4 linked regions of the Arabidopsis thaliana genome follow. The protein of the gene in region 2 interacts with the protein of the main gene of each other region in a pairwise test. Each region holds a gene or a part of one and is shown on either strand. Other genes may lie near its edges.

Region 1 (5,082 bases), on a different chromosome or scaffold from region 2:
TTCCATTCAGACAAAAATAACCCTTGTAATGTATTCAACTGGGCAGACCTATTCAGATGAAGAAACGTAATAAAAAGGTTGCTTCTGATAGATTGGTCAAATTTGATTTCGAGTAATCTAATTAAAGTTTCTACAATTAAGTTCATGATCATTTGATCATTTTGATTTCAGATTGACACAAACCTTGGAAAAAAGGAGAGGAACGAAGCCAGAGGAGGAATTAGGAAGCGTTAGTTGATTTAAGAGGGGAATTGAAGAAGCTTACCTGCGACTGCGAGTGAAGGCGGCGAAGAGCGAGGAAGAACAACAAACGCCGTGAAGCTAGCTTTTTTGGGTTTGGGCCAAACGAGATTAGTTTCTAACAGATGTTTTTCCGGACCCGGACCGGTAATACCCACGATCCGCTTAATTATTTGGTCCCTGTCTAGCTCTAAAATCCCGGTGCAAACGAACCGGCAAAACCAACGACCTAGCGGTTCGGTATTTTGTTTCTGAAATCTGAACCCTCCGATTTGTTCTTCTTTTTTTTTTTCTTTTTATAATGCAAACAATTGATGAAAAAATATATTATGGTCCGAATGGTAACCTCGGTTTTTAATATGTGAGAAAAGTGGTATAACATTGCAGTACAGTTCAATTACGGTACGTGCGAGAAAAATATATTTGCGGGACAAATATGGTTTGTACAAAATAAGCGGTACAGAATAATGTTTGATTGATGAAAAAATTATTTGCGGTGCGGATTATAAATTATATATATATATATATATTAATAATTAATTATTATTTTTGTGTTAATAAATAAGCAATAACATATATTTATAAATTATTAATACATAAATAAATCAAAATATACATTTTTAAAGTTTAACATACATATTATTAAATTCGTTGAATAGTTTCATCATAAAAAATTGAAAAAAAAATCATAATTTTTTACTAGTAAATTGATTATAGAACTTATATAAGCTTATAGTGGATAATAATTGTCAAAATTTCTATAAGTATTATGATATTTCTATTTCTTGTAATTACATTTTCTTAGATTTTAATTAAATAAAAAGAATAAAACTATAATTATTGCATATATATATATATATATATATATATATATATATATATATTAAAGTCCATTAGTTAAGCAAATTGTTATGTCCTACGTATATTTTTTTCTTTTATGCACTAGGTAACTAGTGATTCTGATGCACACATATACTCTCTTTTTTTGTACATATATTTAAATGGGGAAGCTAATGGAAAAAAAATTAAAATTTGCTTAAGTAATGGAGTAATAAACGAGGGATGTGTGTATGGAAGAGGCAAAGGCTGAGAAACTTTTGGTTGGGACGTAGGACATAACAATTTGCTTAAGTAATGGAGTAATGAACGATTTTTTTGTTGGAATGCGGTTTTGAGCAAAAACACTAGGTAAATGATTTTTCTTCTTTTGAAAAGCATTCCAGTGTATTGTTTTTAGGACAAAATTGCAAACTTTTTTCTTTTTTTTTTCGAAAAACGCAAATTTGTTAAAAGTATTGATTGGTAACTGTATTGTAGTTTTAATAAAAAAACAAGAAAACGCCTTTTGTATGTTTCTTAATCACAGTGTATGAATGGTGACATAGACCGCCCCCAAAACCGTACCGTAACTGTAACAGTATAAAAAATCTCTATATATACATATATATCTATGTATTTTTGTTATTATTTGAACCGTCCCATACTTTTTCCGTATCACAAAATACAGTCATCATTCGAACCGCAAAACTATATATAGTATTTCGGTTTTTGAATTCAAAATGAAGGAGAAGAGGAATAGGCAGATTAATATAATTTCGTTATTTCTTTTTAATTTCCTATCTTCAATTTTTCCTCACCCACTGAATTTGACTATGCCATTAAAAATGTGTATACTAATCATCATACCGTCAATAAATAGAGTTTGTGGGAAACACACGACAGACACGTCATCAGCTCTCGACGGCGCGTTTCCATGCCTTTATTATCCTTCACGTTGACCCCACATGCCCCTGTTTTTTTTTTTTGGTGTTCTACGGTATATTTTTGTGAAAATGTTACTTTTCATCTACTCGATAAAATTCTTAAACAGATAGTACAACTTTTTACCCGATTAATCTGTAGAAAATACAATGTTATTTACACTCAACAAACATTTCCATTAATAGAACTTTACCCGATTTAAACCACTCTTCCACTCGATTAATATTATTATTTTATTAATTAAAGATACGATGACGTGTCCATGAGAGATGAGCTTTAGTGGCACGCAACGTAAGAGAAGAAGACAAAAGTAAAAAAGAGAAAGGCACATGTCGAACTCACGTGTCCACTTAAACGCACCACCTTCTTCTGTGCTCTCCACGCGCCTCCACACGCCCTCCTCAACTTCGGACCTTCTTCCTCCAAAAAAAACAATTTCACTCTTCATTTTCTCAGATTCTCTTATTATTTCTTCTACTCGTTTCGAATCCTAATCGTCTACAGTTTCCGACGAGATTCTCACCGGAGAAAGAAAGGTAGTTCTTTTCTCTGAATCTGTTGTGTTGAGAACTTAGCCGTAATTTTTGAGAATTATTCTTCACTATTTGATTTGACAAGAATATGGGTAATAAAGACAGAATCTAAAACACTTGCTTCAGTTTTTGAGGAATCAAAAATCACACGAAAGTTTTTTTTTTTTTTCTGCTCCTATGTTTCTTGGTGCGTTTGTGTTTATTTGACATTAGGAGTGATTGATTGATTATAAAGATGAATGATTTGTTAGATTCATTAAGATCACTGTTCTTTTTGATTAATCATCTTATGTCTAAATTTTAGGTGACTTGACAGAGAATCTTGTTCTGTAATAAAAGCAAAGATGGTATCGAAAACTCCTTCTACATCGTCTGATGAAGCAAATGCTACTGCAGATGAAAGGTGATTCTTAAGGAGACAATTCTTGGAAATAGATTATGGAACCTTTTATTTTTATTTATGGGGATTGATTATGTTTGGTGTATAAAACAGATGTAGAAAAGGTAAAGTACCGAAAAGGATCAACAAGGCCGTTCGTGAGAGGCTTAAGCGTGAGCATTTGAATGAGCTTTTCATTGAATTAGCCGATACTCTTGGTAAATTTCTCATCTTTCCGTAGATTTGAATGAACAATTGCTCGAGTGTGTTGTGATATTTTGAATGTGATTGTGATATCTAACTGTGAACATGTTTCTTTGTTGCAGAACTGAATCAACAGAACAGTGGGAAAGCTTCTATACTATGCGAAGCTACTCGATTCTTGAAGGACGTGTTTGGTCAAATTGAGTCTCTTAGAAAGGAGCATGCTTCTCTCCTATCTGAATCTAGCTATGTAAGTCAATTTCTATATGCACATTGATTGTGTTTATGTATTCTGTGACGTGAATCAACAACTAAGACGAATGTTGCTTCAAGAAGTTACTTCATCTTTGTATTTTTCTAAATGGTCTTGTTGATGGAAACTGGTGTTGTGTGTAGGTAACCACAGAGAAGAATGAGCTCAAGGAAGAAACATCAGTGCTTGAGACTGAGATTTCGAAACTACAAAACGAGATTGAAGCTAGAGCGAATCAGTCGAAACCTGACTTGAACACCTCTCCTGCACCCGAGTACCATCATCATCATTATCAACAACAACATCCTGAACGTGTATCTCAGTTCCCAGGACTTCCCATTTTCCAAGGCCCCGGCTTTCAACAATCTGCTACAACTCTTCATCCTCCTGCAACAGTTCTTGTCCTTCCAATACAACCTGATCCCCAGACACAAGATATCTCAGAAATGACTCAAGCGCAGCAGCCTTTGATGTTTAATAGCTCAAATGTGAGTAAGCCATGTCCAAGGTATGCTAGCGCGGCTGACTCGTGGTCTTCTCGGCTACTTGGAGAGCGGCTGAAAGCCAGTGAATGAGGTCTTGAACGGCTCCACATGGAGTAGCAACGCAAGTTATAAGACATGGCAACTTATGAAGGACTCTGGTTTTGTATTTTTTAATACATCGTTCTGATGTCCTTGTGGGTTTGGCCTTGGCTATTTCTTGTTTTTGATGGTTGTTCATAGGATCAGGAAGTTATGGCCTTGATGGGTCGTTTGAGATAAATAAGTAAATTAGCTCTAACCATTGTCATTTTCTTTTGTCTTAAGATTCTAAAAACACAGAAACAGAACAAAAAAAATCAAATTTCTTTTTAAGAAAAAAGCTTTCTAATGGAAACTAAAATGTGAAATTGGGTTTAAAAGACAAAACCGGTTAATAGGTTTTGGTTTGGATTGGATAAAGAATATGATGGTATTTTGGTAAAATAGGCACTTGAGAAAAAGAGAAGTGAGAGGAGCCATCTTATCTTTGCTATCGAGTGGGTAAGAAGAATCAGAAAACAGAAAATGGCGAATTCACTATGCTTCTTCTCTTCTCCTCCTACCTTTTGCTTCCAATCTCCAAGCAAAAACCCTAAACCTTCTCACTTCTTCTCAACTAATGATAACACCTCTTCCTTGGTACAGAAGAGAGAACTGCTTCAGACTTCAAGATCCCAAAGTTTTGAAGTTAAGGTTAGAATTTTCCCAAACTCTTCTCTTCTCTATAAAATTTGCTTACTTCATTGACCATTTCGTTAATGCAAAATCTCATTCTGTGGTATCAATAGGCCGCAAACAATAATCCTCAGGGCACTAAACCAAACAGTTTAGTTTGTGCAAATTGTGAAGGGGAAGGTAAGTTCTTACCTGTTTTATAATTCTCTTAGTTTTCTACTCCTGAATTGGTTAGTAATTTGATAAAGATGTTTTTTCAAAGGTTGTGTGGCATGTTCTCAATGCAAAGGAGGTGGTGTGAATTTGATTGATCATTTCAATGGTCAGTTTAAAGCTGGTGCACTCTGTTGGCTTTGCAGGTTTGCTACATCTTATATTCTTTCTTCTAATTCTTCCTTCTCCACAACACATACATAAACTCATTACTTAATATATATTTTTACATTTCTTGTGGGCAGAGGTAAAAAGGAGGTGTTGTGTGGGGACTGCAATGGAGCTGGTTTCATTGGTGGG
Region 2 (4,865 bases):
ATCTTGGCACTGATATGTCTCTATGTGGCGGGTTTCGCGTGGTCATGGGGACCGTTGGGATGGTTAGTGCCGAGTGAGATATGTCCATTGGAAATTAGATCAGCAGGACAATCGTTAAACGTTTCGGTGAACATGTTCTTTACATTCTTCATTGGACAATTCTTCTTGACGATGCTTTGCCATATGAAGTTTGGTTTGTTCTATTTCTTCGCGGGTATGGTCTTGATCATGACCATTTTCATTTACTTCTTGTTGCCGGAGACAAAAGGTGTTCCGATTGAGGAGATGGGGAAAGTGTGGAAAGAGCATAGATATTGGGGGAAATATAGTAATAATGATGATGGTGATGATGTTGATGATGATGCTTATTTTTAGTTGATGATTATTTGGGATTTAAGGATATGTTAGGATTAAAAACTTATTATTGAGAAAATGCTTATACTGACCAATGTGAGAAAATAAAAATGAGGATATAATAAACAAGTGTACATAATTTGAGGATTTATGACCGTACTTAAAATTACTCGAAACTTCTTGAACTAAAAATAATATAAATTTTTTGTTTAGACTAAAATGATCATTTTTTACGATAAAGATACATGTCGAGTAATTATTAAGAGTATCCAAATTATCCGTTTGAATTGTTAAAATATTTAAAATTATTATAATTTTCCGGCTACTAAAAATTCTCTAACACTTCACAAGATTATTAAAAAAAACTCTCTCTCTCTATTTGTACTTAAAATAACCCAAATTTGACCCATTCTCATTTGGATAGCGATTTTTAAATTATTGAATTTATCTACCATATCATATCTTATCAGTTGTTTCCAAAACTTAGAAGTGAAATTAAATTGGTTATTTATTTTTGTTTGTAACATAACTAAATCAACCATCAAGTCAATCTCGAACAAACAATTGTTATCATCCATTATCCAATATTAATTACTTTTTTGTTTTGTTTTGTTACAAGTGAATACTATTCACATGATTTATAAATTAGTATTATTATTCACTCCACAACATTTTGTATCAGATTAGGTTTCAAGTTTATAGTTACACAAAAAATGGATTCCGAAATCTTTTAGATTAAAAAAAAAAAGGATCAAAAGTTCAAGGTACACAATCTTTTTATAAAACTGCCGACATGATGCCATATCGCTCATGATTGCATTTATTTTTTTGCATTAGCTCACAAGAATGTTAAAAATTAACGATAAGAAAATCCATTTAATTAGGGGGTACGAGTACGAAAATAATTAAAACAAATATTAGCGTTTGGTGGTGCATAACTCAGCATAAGTCATAAAATAAATTGTTGTCACGATATGTGAAGAAAATCTCGTTGCGATGAGACGAACGACATAAAGAAAATCTTGCGTATCTGACAAGTGGACTAATCCACTTATTTTCAATGTCAGTCTCAAAATGGGAGTTATTAAAATTAATGTTCGTTCTTTTTATTTTATACACACATTTATTTTATATATATATTTATATTATATACAGTAAAACCTCTATAAATTAATAACATTAAAACCATAATATTTTTAATTTATAGTACTATTAATTTAAATGTCTTTGGGTATTTTAGTTGGCAAAACTCAACTAATTACAGGTAACTTTCTTTTGTGATGTCGACAAAAGAATTCTGAATAATTTTTAAGGGTTTCGATTTTTGCCATTTCACGTAAAACACGTGATACTGGGCTACTGGCATTTACGGCAGAGTAACTGGTGGCAAATATTATTACCAATATACTATAAACAAATAAATAAAAAGAACAAACACTAGTATTAAATTTTGATTGTTTTATAACTCAATTAAGTTTTGATGTCAAAGTCTACTTACCAATCAATTACCTCACTGATTTGTCTCCTTTTCAATCTTTTCGATTGTTTTATGGAAACAGCTTTCTAAAAAAGATTAATTTTCACGTAATCACAAAACAAATGTTCACATTAGCCCAAATCTAATAACCACATTAGGTTGGTCCCAAAAATTTAAAAACAAAAAAAAACTTTTTTAGACAGAGAGACCAACTTCAATACATTTAGTTTCATGTATTTTAAATAAGATTAGTATCTTCGTGTTAATTTCCAAATTCAAGCTTATAGTAAGTTAGTAATAATGTATATAATGACGTGGCAAAGGATAAATGTCTCTTTAAATGCACGTAGCAGCCGGAGGAGTGACCCACCTACCTAGTGTTAAATTCTCCTGCCGGAGTTTGGTCCCCACGCGACCTTCTTCTTCACCGGAGTAATAACGCGCGTGAGCTCCACCGCGTCGGGACAAAACTAATGTCCTCTCAAAAAAGCAAAAAAAAAAAGAGAAAAAAAACCAGAGATGGTGAGCTGTGTGAAAAGGACCCCACCACACCCATGTGCTTCTCCTTCCTGTCTCCACCAGCTCCCTCCTTCTCAATCATTAGCTTCTTCTCTTCTCTTCTCTCACAGAGAGAGTAATCACAAGCCAAGTGAGAAAAAGAAAACACTAAACCCAGATCGAAAACCATGTCTATTAACAACAACAACAACAACAACAACAATAACAACGATGGTCTTATGATCTCATCAAACGGAGCTTTAATCGAACAACAACCATCAGTCGTTGTGAAGAAACCACCGGCGAAAGATCGACATAGCAAAGTCGATGGAAGAGGGAGAAGAATCCGTATGCCGATTATATGTGCTGCTCGTGTTTTTCAGCTAACGAGAGAGCTTGGTCATAAGTCAGATGGCCAAACAATTGAATGGTTACTTCGTCAAGCAGAGCCTTCTATTATAGCTGCAACAGGAACTGGTACAACTCCAGCGAGTTTCTCAACTGCTTCTGTCTCTATCCGTGGAGCCACCAATTCTACTTCTTTAGATCATAAACCCACTTCTTTACTTGGTGGTACGTCACCGTTTATACTTGGGAAACGTGTTAGAGCTGATGAGGATAGTAATAATAGTCATAATCATAGTTCTGTTGGTAAAGATGAGACCTTTACGACAACACCAGCTGGGTTTTGGGCTGTTCCGGCGAGGCCGGATTTTGGACAAGTTTGGAGTTTTGCTGGAGCTCCACAAGAGATGTTTTTACAACAACAACATCATCATCAGCAACCATTGTTTGTTCATCAGCAACAGCAACAACAAGCTGCAATGGGTGAAGCTTCTGCTGCTAGAGTTGGGAATTATCTTCCGGGTCATCTTAATTTGCTTGCTTCTTTATCCGGTGGATCTCCCGGGTCGGATCGAAGAGAGGAAGATCCACGTTAATGGTTTAAGCCCTTTTAGGTTTGAGGGCAAAATTTGGTATATATATTTATTATCTTCTCTTCTCTATTGTTGTCATTGTTTCTCTATGTGTGTGTTTTAGTGTTGTTAGAGATTGATTTGGTTTCAGAATCTCTGCAAGTGATTTGAGAGTTTTCGTTAGCTTTAAGTAAGTTAAAGACGGTTGTTTTTGATTAGGGTTAAATTAGGGTTTAAGAATCTGTTGTTTTTTTGGAGGGAGATCGATTTCTTATCGGATCCAAGATTACTTTTAGGAAAAAAGGGAAAATTTCAGAAACCACGGTGGTTTCTTTTCCTCTTTTTTTTTTTGTGTCTGTTTTTTTTTTCCGGTGAAACAGAGCCGTCGATTAAAATTTCAGATATATATTTAAATGTTTTAATATGGTTTGTTGTTGTTGTTGCTAATTGTGTAATGTGTTACAACAATTGTGGTGAAGCATTTGCGTAAGCTGTTAACCACGTTTATTTCTAATAAATGTTTCGAATTCATATTGTTCCTTCCTTCTCTGCATTTATTGATACACAAAAAGCTTTATGTGATAGTGATTGTTTCGTTGAAATCGAACCGGATGATGGATTTTTGAACAGAATCATAATAATCTCTTATTTTTTTAGTGGATATATGTATGAATTGTGGATTTTGAGATGCTATTTATTTTTGGCGTTTCGCGTCTTGATTTAATGCAAGAACTGAACAGAGGATTTAGTAAGAAAAAGAGACAAACCAGTTGTGTCTGAATTCTTCAATTTTGTTGCCTTTTTGTTTCATATGAATCTTTGTACTGTGCTTTTGGAAGTTTGGTTTGTCACGTTAGTCAGAGAAATATTAAATTTAAGTACTGTTAAAACTATATGGCGACATGATATCTTTAAATTAATTGTCTATATTTTTGTTCTAGAAACTGTTACAATTTGAAAGATTAAAGGTGTTAGAATTGTCTCTTCTCTTGTTTGAGATTAGCTATCTAAAAAAATGTGGGTGATACACTCGAACATGAGTTCAAATGGTTGTTTTAATTTTGGCAAAAACCATTTTCACTGTTGTAATAATTTGGACTATCAAAAAAGTAAATTTTATTTTAACCCCTGATATAGTATAATTTCTTATGCAAAGTATATTTAAGGTACAAATAGCATAGATTCAATGATTTCGTTTGTGGTTTTCACAGCTATATATCTGCTGAGTAATGTATTTAACCAATAATTTATTTATCACGATAATACCTGATGAATAAATGTCAAAGTGATTAGATAGGCTTCTTTAGACTATTTAGGTCACACTAACCAATCAAAAGAATCAAACAAATTTTCTCATTAAAATAAGAATCCATTAATGGAAAGATCTTAACAAAAAGTTGGTGTTTTTTCTTTCTTAATTAGGTCTTAGTAATTAACACTTAGCTATATAATGTAATGCAAATAATTATAGGTGGGGGATCTTTGTAATCAACTCGTATCAATAAAACATCCGTACCTTTTATTGTCGAATCATCTAAATGACCCCAACACCAATAATTGATATGGTCCCAATTATTTTCTACCGAAAAATAATTTCTATAGGCTGGCAAATAATTCAT
Region 3 (4,955 bases), on a different chromosome or scaffold from region 2:
CTAATTTATTCTTTCCGATTAATATATTTACGTTCACATATGGTTGCACATTATTTGAAGTACAATTATATAATATATTACTTGAATTTTCTTCGGTCTAGTGTACACTGCGTATATAGTTTCTACAATCTCAGATCTTCAGTTCAAACCCTATATTATAAAAAAGTTATAGCCTTATAGGTACCGAAATTTTAAAAGTTGAGAGACATAAAACACGAAGACTTTGGTCCACGCTTAGAATTTGATTGGTTCATTTCATATATGTGTCAAGGAAAATGAATTAGCATAGTGTCGTGGTCAATTTCAACGGATTATATAACTTAGTAAATCAATACCGTAGTTAATATACCCTTTTTTTGTCAATACCGTGATTGATATTAATACTTAGCATTTGGTATCTGTTGGGTCGTATAATTGATCATGGGTTGTCTGAGCATGGAAGTAGGATTATAGGGTAGATATGAAGAACGTCATTCTAACGTAAATTATTATTGCTACACTTTTAAAACCAAAATATACGACAGCTTTAATTCTTCCTACCAATTAATAACGACGACGAAAATATACGATTACGGCTGGACATTGGGCTTCCAAAAACGATTTTGAAAAAAAAAAAAAAAACAGAAAGAAATGTCATATACCTAATTTATTTGACCGATGACTTTCACATTATCTGGTCACCATTCACAAAATTTGACACAGTACTTGCATGTCGCTTACAAGAAAAATTAGCCTGCTGATGTTAGAGGAATACAGATAGATACAATTCTGCCTTGACCCTCTCCTGGAGGCGCAAAGTTCATGACAATAAGTAAATCATATATTATACATTTTAATTTTCTCCTTTCTAAGTTCTTAAAAAAGTATGACATCCCCTACTTTGCCTACTTCCTTAATTTCACAAAAATAAAAGTATGACATACTTAATTAGAACATATCTTTTGTTTAGTATTTTACTAGTAATTTTAATAGTACGTACGCTATATAGAACGAACTAATCACCCCTGAACTGAATTCCAAACTAAATCAATTGGTTGCATGTGTGTACGTACAGAAACTCATATAATTCTCAAGTTCAATTCTGTGATAATCATGTGACTTATTAGCTTCAGTTGTTATATTCTGTATCCTAATTTATTTATTTATTTTTTAACATTTATTTGGGTTATATATAGAAAAAGAGATGTACTATTTGCATGTATATAGAGAGAGGCGCATGTGTAGATAATTATAGATAATATGAAATCGTAAGAGTAGTGGAGATGGAGACAAACCCGTGATTGTCGTTGGTGACAGAAACAAGTAGTAATATTTTCTTCTCGTGTCTTTCAGTGAAGACAGCCCAGCCAAGCACCTTTTAACTTCTGTCTGATTCCTCTCTCTATGCTCTTTCTCTGTCTATCTATCTAATTATGCTTTTGGGTTTCTTCTTTTTCTGGTTTCACAGCTTTGGCTTTGAAGTCACGAGCCCATCCCCCTAACCATCCCCTTTTATGCTTTGCTTTTCTAGTCAATTTAATTCATGAGTTGTAACGATGGAAGAAGTTTCATTTATCTAATTAATGTGTATGCCTCATTAATGTTGCCTTCTTCCTATATTGCTAAAAGCTAGTTCGAATGAAACAAAAACACGTACCAAATCCAATGAAAAACATAGATCTTCAGTTGGTTTTGAAAGAAAGAACAAAAAAAATTGTTAATGTACATGTCATATTGAACCCTGATTTATGTCATAAAATTGGTATACGTACGGGTTGATATCATGAAAACGTTTGATCTTTTACCATGAAAATGATCATTATTTAGATAAATTCAATCTACTCCTTGGAATTTCTTTTCACTCCCTATCACAACGAGATTCAAAGATTAATTGTACTAATTGACTTAATAGTTATTAACTCATTTTAAAATACATCTTATGACTGAAGTTACTAATGTTTAATGAAATTAAAAGTACCATTTTTGTCATGAGGTGTAATTCTAGATCTATCTTTCCCTAAGATGTATATAACTGTAGAAAAAACCATTGGTGTAATAAAAAGCTATATATTAAATAGAATTTAGAATATCCGTTGCCATCATATACATATTTCAACATATATGTTGAGTTGGAGAGAGAGGGGGAGAAAAAGGAATGATGGATACAAGCATCCAAAAAGTCATACACATAGACCATCAAAAGTCTTCACCTTAAATTCCTAACACATATGTATGAGTGTGTGATCTTTGTTTGATCTTTGTCCAGAGAACTCCAAGATAGACCAAAAAGGTTCAACCTCAAAACAAACAACACAAAAACAGCCAAATAGCTAGAGACCAAGATGAGATCAAGCAGCCAAAATTCTGAAAACTCCAAGACTTGTCTATCTAACAACATCAAAGCAACCACCAAGAATGAAGAAGATAAAGATGAAGAGGATGATGAAGAAGGCGAAGAGGATGAAGAAGAGAGATCTGGAGATCAGAGCCCATCTAGCAATAGCTATGAGGAAGAGAGTGGGAGTCACCACCATGATCAGAACAAGAAGAATGGAGGATCCGTGAGGCCGTACAACCGCTCAAAGACTCCGAGGCTGCGATGGACGCCGGAGCTCCATATTTGCTTTCTTCAAGCTGTGGAGAGATTGGGTGGCCCAGATAGTTGAGTTTCAATTATATATATGAATCAATATCAAGATCATTGCATATGTGAAGATCTCTAAATTTCTAGGGTTTTCTTGTTGATATTTATTTGGGGTCTCTTTCAATGATTTTGTTGAAACAGGAGCAACACCGAAGCTTGTTCTCCAATTGATGAACGTCAAGGGGCTAAGTATTGCCCATGTTAAGAGTCATCTTCAGGTTTTGCAAATATCCACATACACATAGAGTATATATCTATATACATCATTGAGATCTTCATCTGAAATCATACTTCATTTTTTTTTCTTCTTAGATGTACAGAAGCAAGAAGACCGATGAGCCTAATGAAGGTAGTTTACTTAGCTTTCTTCTACCTTCTGATTTAAGTTAGGGCTTCTATAAATCTTATAATTGAATTCGACGAGAAATTGACTAATTCTTGTCTCTCGTGTTTTATCTTTTCTTATAACTACAGGAGATCAAGGATTTTCGTTTGAACACGGAGCTGGTTACACTTACAACCTTAGCCAACTTCCAATGCTACAAAGTTTTGATCAAAGGCCTTCTTCTAGTTTAGGGTATTTACAAACTCTTCAGCTAGCTATCTTTAAACTATAAGTTAAAATTACGTGTGTGTAACTTGGAATGTATTCAATAGATATGGTGGTGGTTCGTGGACTGACCACAGACGACAGATCTACCGTAGCCCTTGGAGAGGATTAACGACACGAGAAAATACAAGAACAAGACAAACAATGTTTAGCTCACAGCCTGGTGAGAGATATCACGGAGTTAGCAATAGTATTCTTAACGATAAGAACAAAACTATTTCATTTCGAATCAATTCTCATGAAGGGGTTCATGATAACAATGGAGTAGCTGGAGCTGTTCCAAGAATTCATAGAAGTTTTCTTGAAGGTATGAAAACGTTTAACAAATCATGGGGACAGAGCCTCTCTTCCAATCTTAAGTCCTCCACCGCAACAATACCACAAGATCATATTGCTACAACGCTAAATTCTTATCAATGGGAGAATGCTGGAGTGGCAGAAGGATCAGAGAATGTTTTGAAGAGGAAGAGGTTATTATTTTCTGATGACTGCAATAAGTCAGACCAAGATTTGGATCTAAGCTTGTCCCTTAAGGTACCTCGGACACACGACAATCTTGGAGAATGCTTGTTAGAAGATGAAGTAAAAGAACATGATGATCATCAAGATATCAAGAGTTTGTCTCTTTCGTTATCATCTTCAGGTTCATCAAAACTCGACCGAACCATTAGGAAAGAAGATCAAACTGATCACAAAAAGAGAAAGATTTCGGTCTTGGCAAGTCCCCTTGATCTCACTCTGTGAATATGTATAACAACTTATATACGTATATTCTAAGTGAGATCTTGTGGTACTTGTTGATGGAAGACGGTTCTGTATTGTTGTTTATCATTCGTTGCATACTTGTGACAAGACCCATAATTAAGGAAATAATAGAGACATTTTTTAATGTTTTTTATTAAAAAAAAATTCACATAATTTTGTCGAGATCGTTAAATGCATATTTTAAAATATATATGATTTGTGATCGAGTTGGGAGCAGAAATTTGTTTTCTTCTAAATAGTATAGTAACCAAGAAATACATTAGTGAGAGTCTATATATATGGTTTTGAGAGTTACAAGACATTGCACGTTGTCTATAAGCTTGTCTAGACGTTGCAATGTATATGTAGTTTACTCTCACATAACAAGTATCCTAAGCAATATTTTTGTTTTAACATGGAGATATTGTCTGAAAATTTATACGTTAACGTCAAATCAGTGAATACAAGAAAAGAAGATGAAGACTTCCGAGTCATAGCTTTCTGAGCTATAGCATTATTATTTTTATAAAGACGAGTTTTTGCCTTCTTCAAAATCGTTTTATAAATTATTCTATGTTTTAGATTTGTAGTTGAAATTATATGAAAGGTCCGTTAATTTAAAAATCAGGTCTGCTGAATGTTTTGTTTGTATTAAAAAAACAAAAAAAAAAAAACAAATCGGTTCTGATAACCAACCAAAGTTTATTTTAATTTAGTTGCGAGGTTAATTAAGAAAAAAAGAAGACACTTTCTTTAAGAGAAAATTGGAGAGAACGACAAGAAGACAGATGTACTTGACATAGAGATATGTCTTGATCTCCTCGATAGACAACAAGCTAGTATCTGTTATTCGCATATAATCGTTTCTTATCATCTTGGGCCTTGAATAAGATTTGGCTATATGTATTATATATTTGGGAATTTTTTCATATTTCCAGAGAATCAAAACTATGGAAAGTTTTTGTTGTTTTATGTCTA
Region 4 (6,186 bases), on a different chromosome or scaffold from region 2:
GAACATCTTCAACGAAGATTTCAACCTCGTCTGAGTCGAATAAGATCTTAACCGAAGAAATCGAAAGGCTAAAAGCCGTGGTAATTAAACTACTTCTTTTTGTTTTCTTACCTGTAACAATAGTAACACATTAGACACTAAAGATACATTTTTATGAACATGTAGATAAAAAATCTCCAGAGGCAGTGTGAACTTGGCAATGAGAAGATGGAAGAATGTCAACAAGAGCTCGACAAGACATGGGAAGTTGCTAAAGAAGAAGCAGAGAAATCGAAAGCTGCTAAAGAGATAATAAAAGCCTTGGCATCGAAGGTAAAAGATACATAGTTTTTTTTAATCTTTCTGTTTTTGGTTTGTTATGTGACCGACATTTTCACGGTATCTTTGCTTGCAGCTCCAAGCGAATAAAGAGAAACCGAGTAATCCTCTGAAGACCGGCATTGCATGCAATCCTTCTCAAGTCTCACCAATCTTTGATGACTCAATGTCCATTCCATACCTCACACCAATCACCACAGCTCGTTCACAACACGAAACCAAACAACATGTAGAGAAATGTGTCACGAAATCCTCGAACCGTGACAGCAACATTAAGCTATTAGTAGATGCATCGCCAGCCATCACAAGAACAGGGTATCTCCAAAACGAAACACAAGACTCGTCAGCAGAACAAGTTGAGCAATACGAGCCCGGTGTATATATAACTTTCACGGCCTTGCCTTGCGGTCAGAAGACGCTTAAACGCGTACGGTTTAGGTAAAAAAATGTTAATGTGCTTTTAAGTGTTTATATAGTTTGAAGTACGCTTAAGTATTTATATGATTGGTTTCTAACTTTGGTTGCAGTCGGAAGAGGTTTTCAGAGAAGGAAGCACAAAGATGGTGGGAAGAGAAGCAGGTTTTGGTCTATAACAAGTATGATGCTGAAATATGAAACTAACTTTTGAGTTTACTTCTTCGAATGTATTTTAATTCATTTTGATGTTTGTTAGTGAATATATGTAATGCAGAAAAATTTCTTTATTTAAGAAAAAATGAAAAAAAAATACTGGGAAAAAAATTCCAATATATGATTAATAAAAATATTTTAATGATCATCTAGGAAATATATATGCGAGTTAAGAAAAATGTTTGTGATTTTGAGCAATGAAGAAGACTTGCATAGTATGTAAATGTAAGTAGAAATATATCTAACATGCTATCTTCAAAATGCGATTGGTTCAATATTACCATTGAGGCATTGACCACGAGATAGAAAATAAAATGATGTATATCAAATATAAAACTTTCATTCTATATTATAGAAAACGTAATAATTGACTATGAAATGTGGCTTAAAATGTGTGAAAACAGTGAGAAAGCATCTCAAAAATTAACAACGTAAAAAATAGTTTACTTATTATGTTTTCTTAAAACCTTACATTAAGTTCTAGTTGTTGAAAATTCCTTATAAATATGTCAAATATGTCACGTCCTTACGTTGGTCGATGCCAAAAAATATGACGAGCAAAAGTTATTAACTAGTATAGGTTTATACATATATATCCGTTTTTACAAGCAAAAATAGTTATCAAATTGTCTTTAATTGGTTACTTTTAATATTTTCACTAGGAGCAAAACTGATAAATGAAATTGACAAATATCTAGTCTATATGCATAAACACGTTACGCATGGATGAACAAAAATAAACATGTTTAGATGAATTATAATGAACGTGAGTTTTCCAACATTGAACATGATACCGAAAAAGCTTATTAAGAACGTTACTGAGAATCAAATTTACACGGAAATATATAAACACATTAAAGTAAAAAGAAAAGTTAAAGTGGAAAATATGTTGTGGGGTTTGCAATTGGCAACCGACCCTAAATGCTTTTTCCAGCTTCTTTTACATAATTTTAATCTCTTTTTGTCTTTCTTACAATTTCATCACTGATCGATCGAATTCAAACCCTTATGTTACGCTTCTTTCTTATATAACTGTCTCTTCATATTCTCACTCCTTCTCCTCCCTCTTCTCCTTTTTCTCTCTTAAGTTCTATAAATGTTCATATTTGTTTCTAGCTAAGAAGTTTGTATAAGGCAGTGGACATGGCTCCTGTTTCAATGCCTCCAGGTTTCCGGTTTCATCCAACAGACGAAGAGCTTGTCATATACTACCTCAAGCGAAAGATTAATGGTCGGACTATTGAGTTAGAGATAATACCCGAGATTGATCTTTACAAATGCGAACCTTGGGATTTACCTGGTATATTTCTCTCTTTGCTTCTTTTTTTTCTTTTTCATAAGATGCAAATCTATCATTTTTTTTGGTCATCCGCAAGTATTTACCATGGACGAAGGTATAAATTTATGATTCTGCATCGTTAGTACATCAACATGTTGTGTCTCATGTTAAAGAAATTTTAAATGAGACCATACCATAGCAACCGAAGGAGAAGACTCTATCTGGTTCTTTTCTAATATGTCATAATCATTTGATTGATATGCTTAGTGTAAGATCATTTTTTTTTGGAATTTAGTAAGAATAACGAAAAATAGATTCATTTTTCTGAAAACTACATAATGTGAAACTAATGTTTGAAAGGGTAACCCTTGAGAGAAGAGACACTTGACGTCCTTTCTTTTTCGAAGATAGATGTTCTTTCCCTCTTTTTCCTTAACATAATATAATTCCCATTTTATTTTCACATTTTTACGTACCAAGTTATGTATCTCTAGTCACGCATCGAACTTGGAATCGAACGTGAATGCTTTATCAACTAAATAATCTTTAATAATTATGATCCCAACTTTATGTTAGAATAAAATTTAAATGGACCCACCCTTATCTTTAGTCTTTAAAAGGATTGTAATAAAACCGAGAGATGCGGTGGTGACTAGTGTGAGACAAATTCGGAAGACCGAGTCAAAAAAGGTAAGAAGATTGAAAAAAAAAGATAATAAGTAACTCACAATAATTTCACATGTGCTTTAGGGTTTTGGAAGCTTCTCATTCACCTTCAACTTTTTGTTTTAAATATAAAACAATCTAATGTTCTCTTTATTTGTCTTTTCTTTTTTAATCTTTTGGATTCTCATGACATGTTATGGAATCTTTAAGTAGTGTGTACAAATTAAGATTGGATATAATTTATCTTAATTGTATGATCCTTGCAGGGAAGTCCTTGCTGCCAAGTAAAGACCTAGAATGGTTCTTTTTCAGTCCTCGAGACCGGAAATATCCAAACGGATCAAGAACAAACCGGGCGACCAAAGCAGGTTACTGGAAAGCCACCGGGAAAGATCGTAAAGTGACTTCACATTCACGGATGGTTGGAACAAAGAAAACATTAGTTTATTACCGAGGAAGAGCGCCTCATGGCTCTCGTACCGATTGGGTCATGCACGAGTACCGTCTTGAAGAACAAGAATGTGACTCTAAATCCGGTATACAGGTAAGCTAACTTTTAAAAAGGTTATCAAAAGATTAAGATTCTTAACTTGAATATAAACCAATGTATAAACATTTCAGGATGCCTATGCACTTTGTCGAGTATTTAAGAAGAGTGCTTTAGCCAACAAAATTGAAGAACAACACCATGGTACGAAGAAGAACAAAGGAACGACTAATAGTGAACAATCTACTTCTAGTACTTGTTTGTATTCTGATGGAATGTATGAAAACCTCGAAAACTCGGGGTATCCAGTCTCACCTGAGACAGGAGGCTTAACTCAACTCGGTAATAATTCGTCGTCGGATATGGAAACGATAGAGAATAAATGGAGTCAGTTTATGTCGCATGACACGTCCTTCAACTTCCCACCTCAGTCTCAATATGGAACAATCTCATATCCTCCCTCGAAGGTAAAATTTAAACTATATATCTCAAAGAAATACAAAATTAAAATTGGTGAATATGTAACCTTTTGTTTTCAAACTAATCTCTTATCCATTGAATTCTCCTCATATAATAGGTTGATATAGCGTTAGAGTGTGCAAGACTACAAAATCGTATGTTGCCACCAGTACCACCACTTTACGTAGAAGGTCTCACACACAATGAATATTTTGGAAACAATGTAGCTAACGATACAGATGAAATGTTGAGCAAGATTATAGCATTGGCTCAAGCCTCACATGAGCCACGAAACAGTCTAGACTCATGGGACGGTGGTTCTGCTTCCGGGAACTTCCATGGAGACTTTAACTATTCCGGAGAAAAAGTCTCATGCCTAGAGGCGAACGTGGAGGCTGTAGATATGCAAGAACACCATGTGAATTTTAAGGAAGAAAGACTTGTTGAAAACTTGAGATGGGTAGGAGTATCAAGCAAGGAACTTGAAAAGGTAGTGATATTTTACAATGTTAAGTGCAAAATATTTTATGTGTTAATATATATGTTATCAAATATAAGTATATGTTTGATTTATTCTACAAATTTCAGAGCTTCGTTGAAGAACACTCAACGGTAATTCCTATAGAAGATATTTGGAGATATCATAATGATAATCAAGAACAAGAACATCATGATCAAGGTAGCTTTCACTTCGCGATTTCTACATTTGGTTGTCTTTCTTGACATCTCTGGATTTGATTTTTTTGTTTTGTTGTTGTTGAAGATGGTATGGACGTTAACAACAACAATGGAGATGTGGATGATGCTTTCACACTCGAGTTTTCGGAAAACGAACATAACGAGAATCTTTTGGACAAGAACGATCATGAGACAACGAGTTCCTCATGTTTTGAGGTGGTAAAAAAAGTTGAGGTTAGCCATGGATTGTTTGTCACAACTCGTCAGGTAACCAACACATTCTTCCAACAGATAGTACCATCGCAAACCGTTATAGTTTATATAAATCCGACGGATGGCAATGAGTGTTGTCATAGTATGACATCAAAAGAGGAGGTTCATGTCCGTAAAAAGATAAATCCGCGAATCAACGGAGTAAGCTCAACAGTTCTTGGACAATGGAGAAAATTCGCGCATGTTATTGGCTTCATTCCTATGCTTCTATTGATGCGTTGTGTTCATCGAGGTAACTCTAACAAAAACAGAGGCAGTGAAGGTTACTCGAGGCAGCCTACGAGAGGAGATTGTAACAATCGGGGAACAATACTCATGATGGAAAATGCTGTCGTGAGAAGAAAAATTTGGAAGAAGAAGAAAGAGAAAAATATGGTTGACGAACAAGGTTTTCGGTTTCAAGATAGTTTCGTATTGAAGAAGTTGGGGCTTTCTCTTGCTATCATCTTAGCTGTTTCTACCATAAGTCTTATTTGAATACTGAGGTTCAATATATCATATATGGCTTTTCACTTTTCTATTGTACTCCCATTTGCCTAGGTCGTATTTACTCTCATTTGCTTTTTCCATTTCTCTAAAGTCGTCTAAACAAAACTAGATTTGGTTATTTTCTGTTTATGTATTAAGTGATATGATCTCTCCGCGGGTTGAACGATCAGTCTTCTGTCTGGTTTTTATTATTATTATTATGTTTGCATGCACGTAAGACGGTAAGAGCAGATTATACGAACATTAACAATTTAGCCATCTTGTATTTCAGTATTTTAGTCACTATAGATATGTGAGTAAGTTTATAGTCATTTTCATAATAACTTGTTTATTATAACGATTGCTGTTCCATGTTTTGCAATGTATAGATCATCAAAAATTACTATCGAGCTATTTTGTTCTTGAATCTTGACAGATAATATTTAAGAATAACCTATACGGTTCAAACTGTCGGTTTCAATATTAAAACAAATGTGAATGGAAGATAGAGAGAGGAAAAAAACCTCTCTTACAAAAGAATCTAGGTGCGTCAGAGAAGCTCGCCAATCTCATGGAGCCAAGATTTGCTTTCCTGGCTCTTAATAGTTTGTATGGATCGGCGATTGAAACTTCATTATTCTCTCCCAAACAAAACATAGAATAAACGAATGTGTCTAACGCTGAGTGAAGAGGACTAGACGGACTTGCCCCGTCATAATATGCATATTACGATACGTTGCAACATTAACAATGTCGTGAGTATGCATATCTCATAACATACCAAATATCGATACGTTTCAACATTGAATTTTTAATATCTTAGTCATTAGCAATTAATAATTAAATCTTCTTTTATATGAACAAATTTATGATTTACAAAAAAAATAGATGTTATGTTTCCATGGATCATGTTTTCAAGCTTGACCGA

What was found.
Region 1: the proteins of AT5G23280 (region 2) and PYE interact in a two-hybrid assay, tested with the Arabidopsis thaliana proteins (one large-scale study listed by BioGRID).
Region 3: the proteins of AT5G23280 (region 2) and AT2G40260 interact in a two-hybrid assay, tested with the Arabidopsis thaliana proteins (one large-scale study listed by BioGRID).
Region 4: the proteins of AT5G23280 (region 2) and NAC028 interact in a two-hybrid assay, tested with the Arabidopsis thaliana proteins (one large-scale study listed by BioGRID).

The regions. Positions count from the first base shown.
Region 1 is NC_003074.8:17,565,157-17,570,238, forward strand, and holds PYE (basic helix-loop-helix (bHLH) DNA-binding superfamily protein), read left to right. Parts: upstream 1-1,969; 5' UTR 1,970-2,046; exon of another isoform or gene 2,047-2,048; intron 2,049-2,319; exon of another isoform or gene 2,320-2,537; intron 2,538-2,689; 5' UTR 2,690-2,721; intron 2,722-2,838; 5' UTR 2,839-2,878; coding exon 2,879-2,937; intron 2,938-3,027; coding exon 3,028-3,131; intron 3,132-3,239; coding exon 3,240-3,367; intron 3,368-3,513; coding exon 3,514-3,945; 3' UTR 3,946-4,229; downstream 4,230-5,082. Other genes in the region: AT3G47630 (translocator assembly/maintenance protein), read right to left, coding at 1-6; AT3G47650 (DnaJ/Hsp40 cysteine-rich domain superfamily protein), read left to right, coding at 4,420-4,587, 4,683-4,749, 4,832-4,928, 5,028-5,082.
Region 2 is NC_003076.8:7,840,500-7,845,364, forward strand, and holds AT5G23280 (TCP family transcription factor), read left to right. Parts: upstream 1-2,107; 5' UTR 2,108-2,517; coding exon 2,518-3,270; 3' UTR 3,271-4,150; downstream 4,151-4,865. Other genes in the region: STP11 (sugar transporter 11), read left to right, coding at 1-375.
Region 3 is NC_003071.7:16,815,840-16,820,794, reverse strand, and holds AT2G40260 (Homeodomain-like superfamily protein), read left to right. Parts: upstream 1-2,064; 5' UTR 2,065-2,321; coding exon 2,322-2,640; exon of another isoform or gene 2,641-2,764; coding exon 2,765-2,841; intron 2,842-2,935; coding exon 2,936-2,972; intron 2,973-3,097; coding exon 3,098-3,200; intron 3,201-3,280; coding exon 3,281-3,977; 3' UTR 3,978-4,265; downstream 4,266-4,955.
Region 4 is NC_003070.9:24,520,014-24,526,199, reverse strand, and holds NAC028 (NAC domain containing protein 28), read left to right. Parts: upstream 1-1,939; 5' UTR 1,940-2,091; coding exon 2,092-2,248; intron 2,249-3,159; coding exon 3,160-3,437; intron 3,438-3,514; coding exon 3,515-3,847; intron 3,848-3,957; coding exon 3,958-4,329; intron 4,330-4,427; coding exon 4,428-4,518; intron 4,519-4,602; coding exon 4,603-5,267; 3' UTR 5,268-5,532; downstream 5,533-6,186. Other genes in the region: AT1G65920 (Regulator of chromosome condensation (RCC1) family with FYVE zinc finger domain-containing protein), read left to right, coding at 1-80, 166-312, 395-756, 846-933.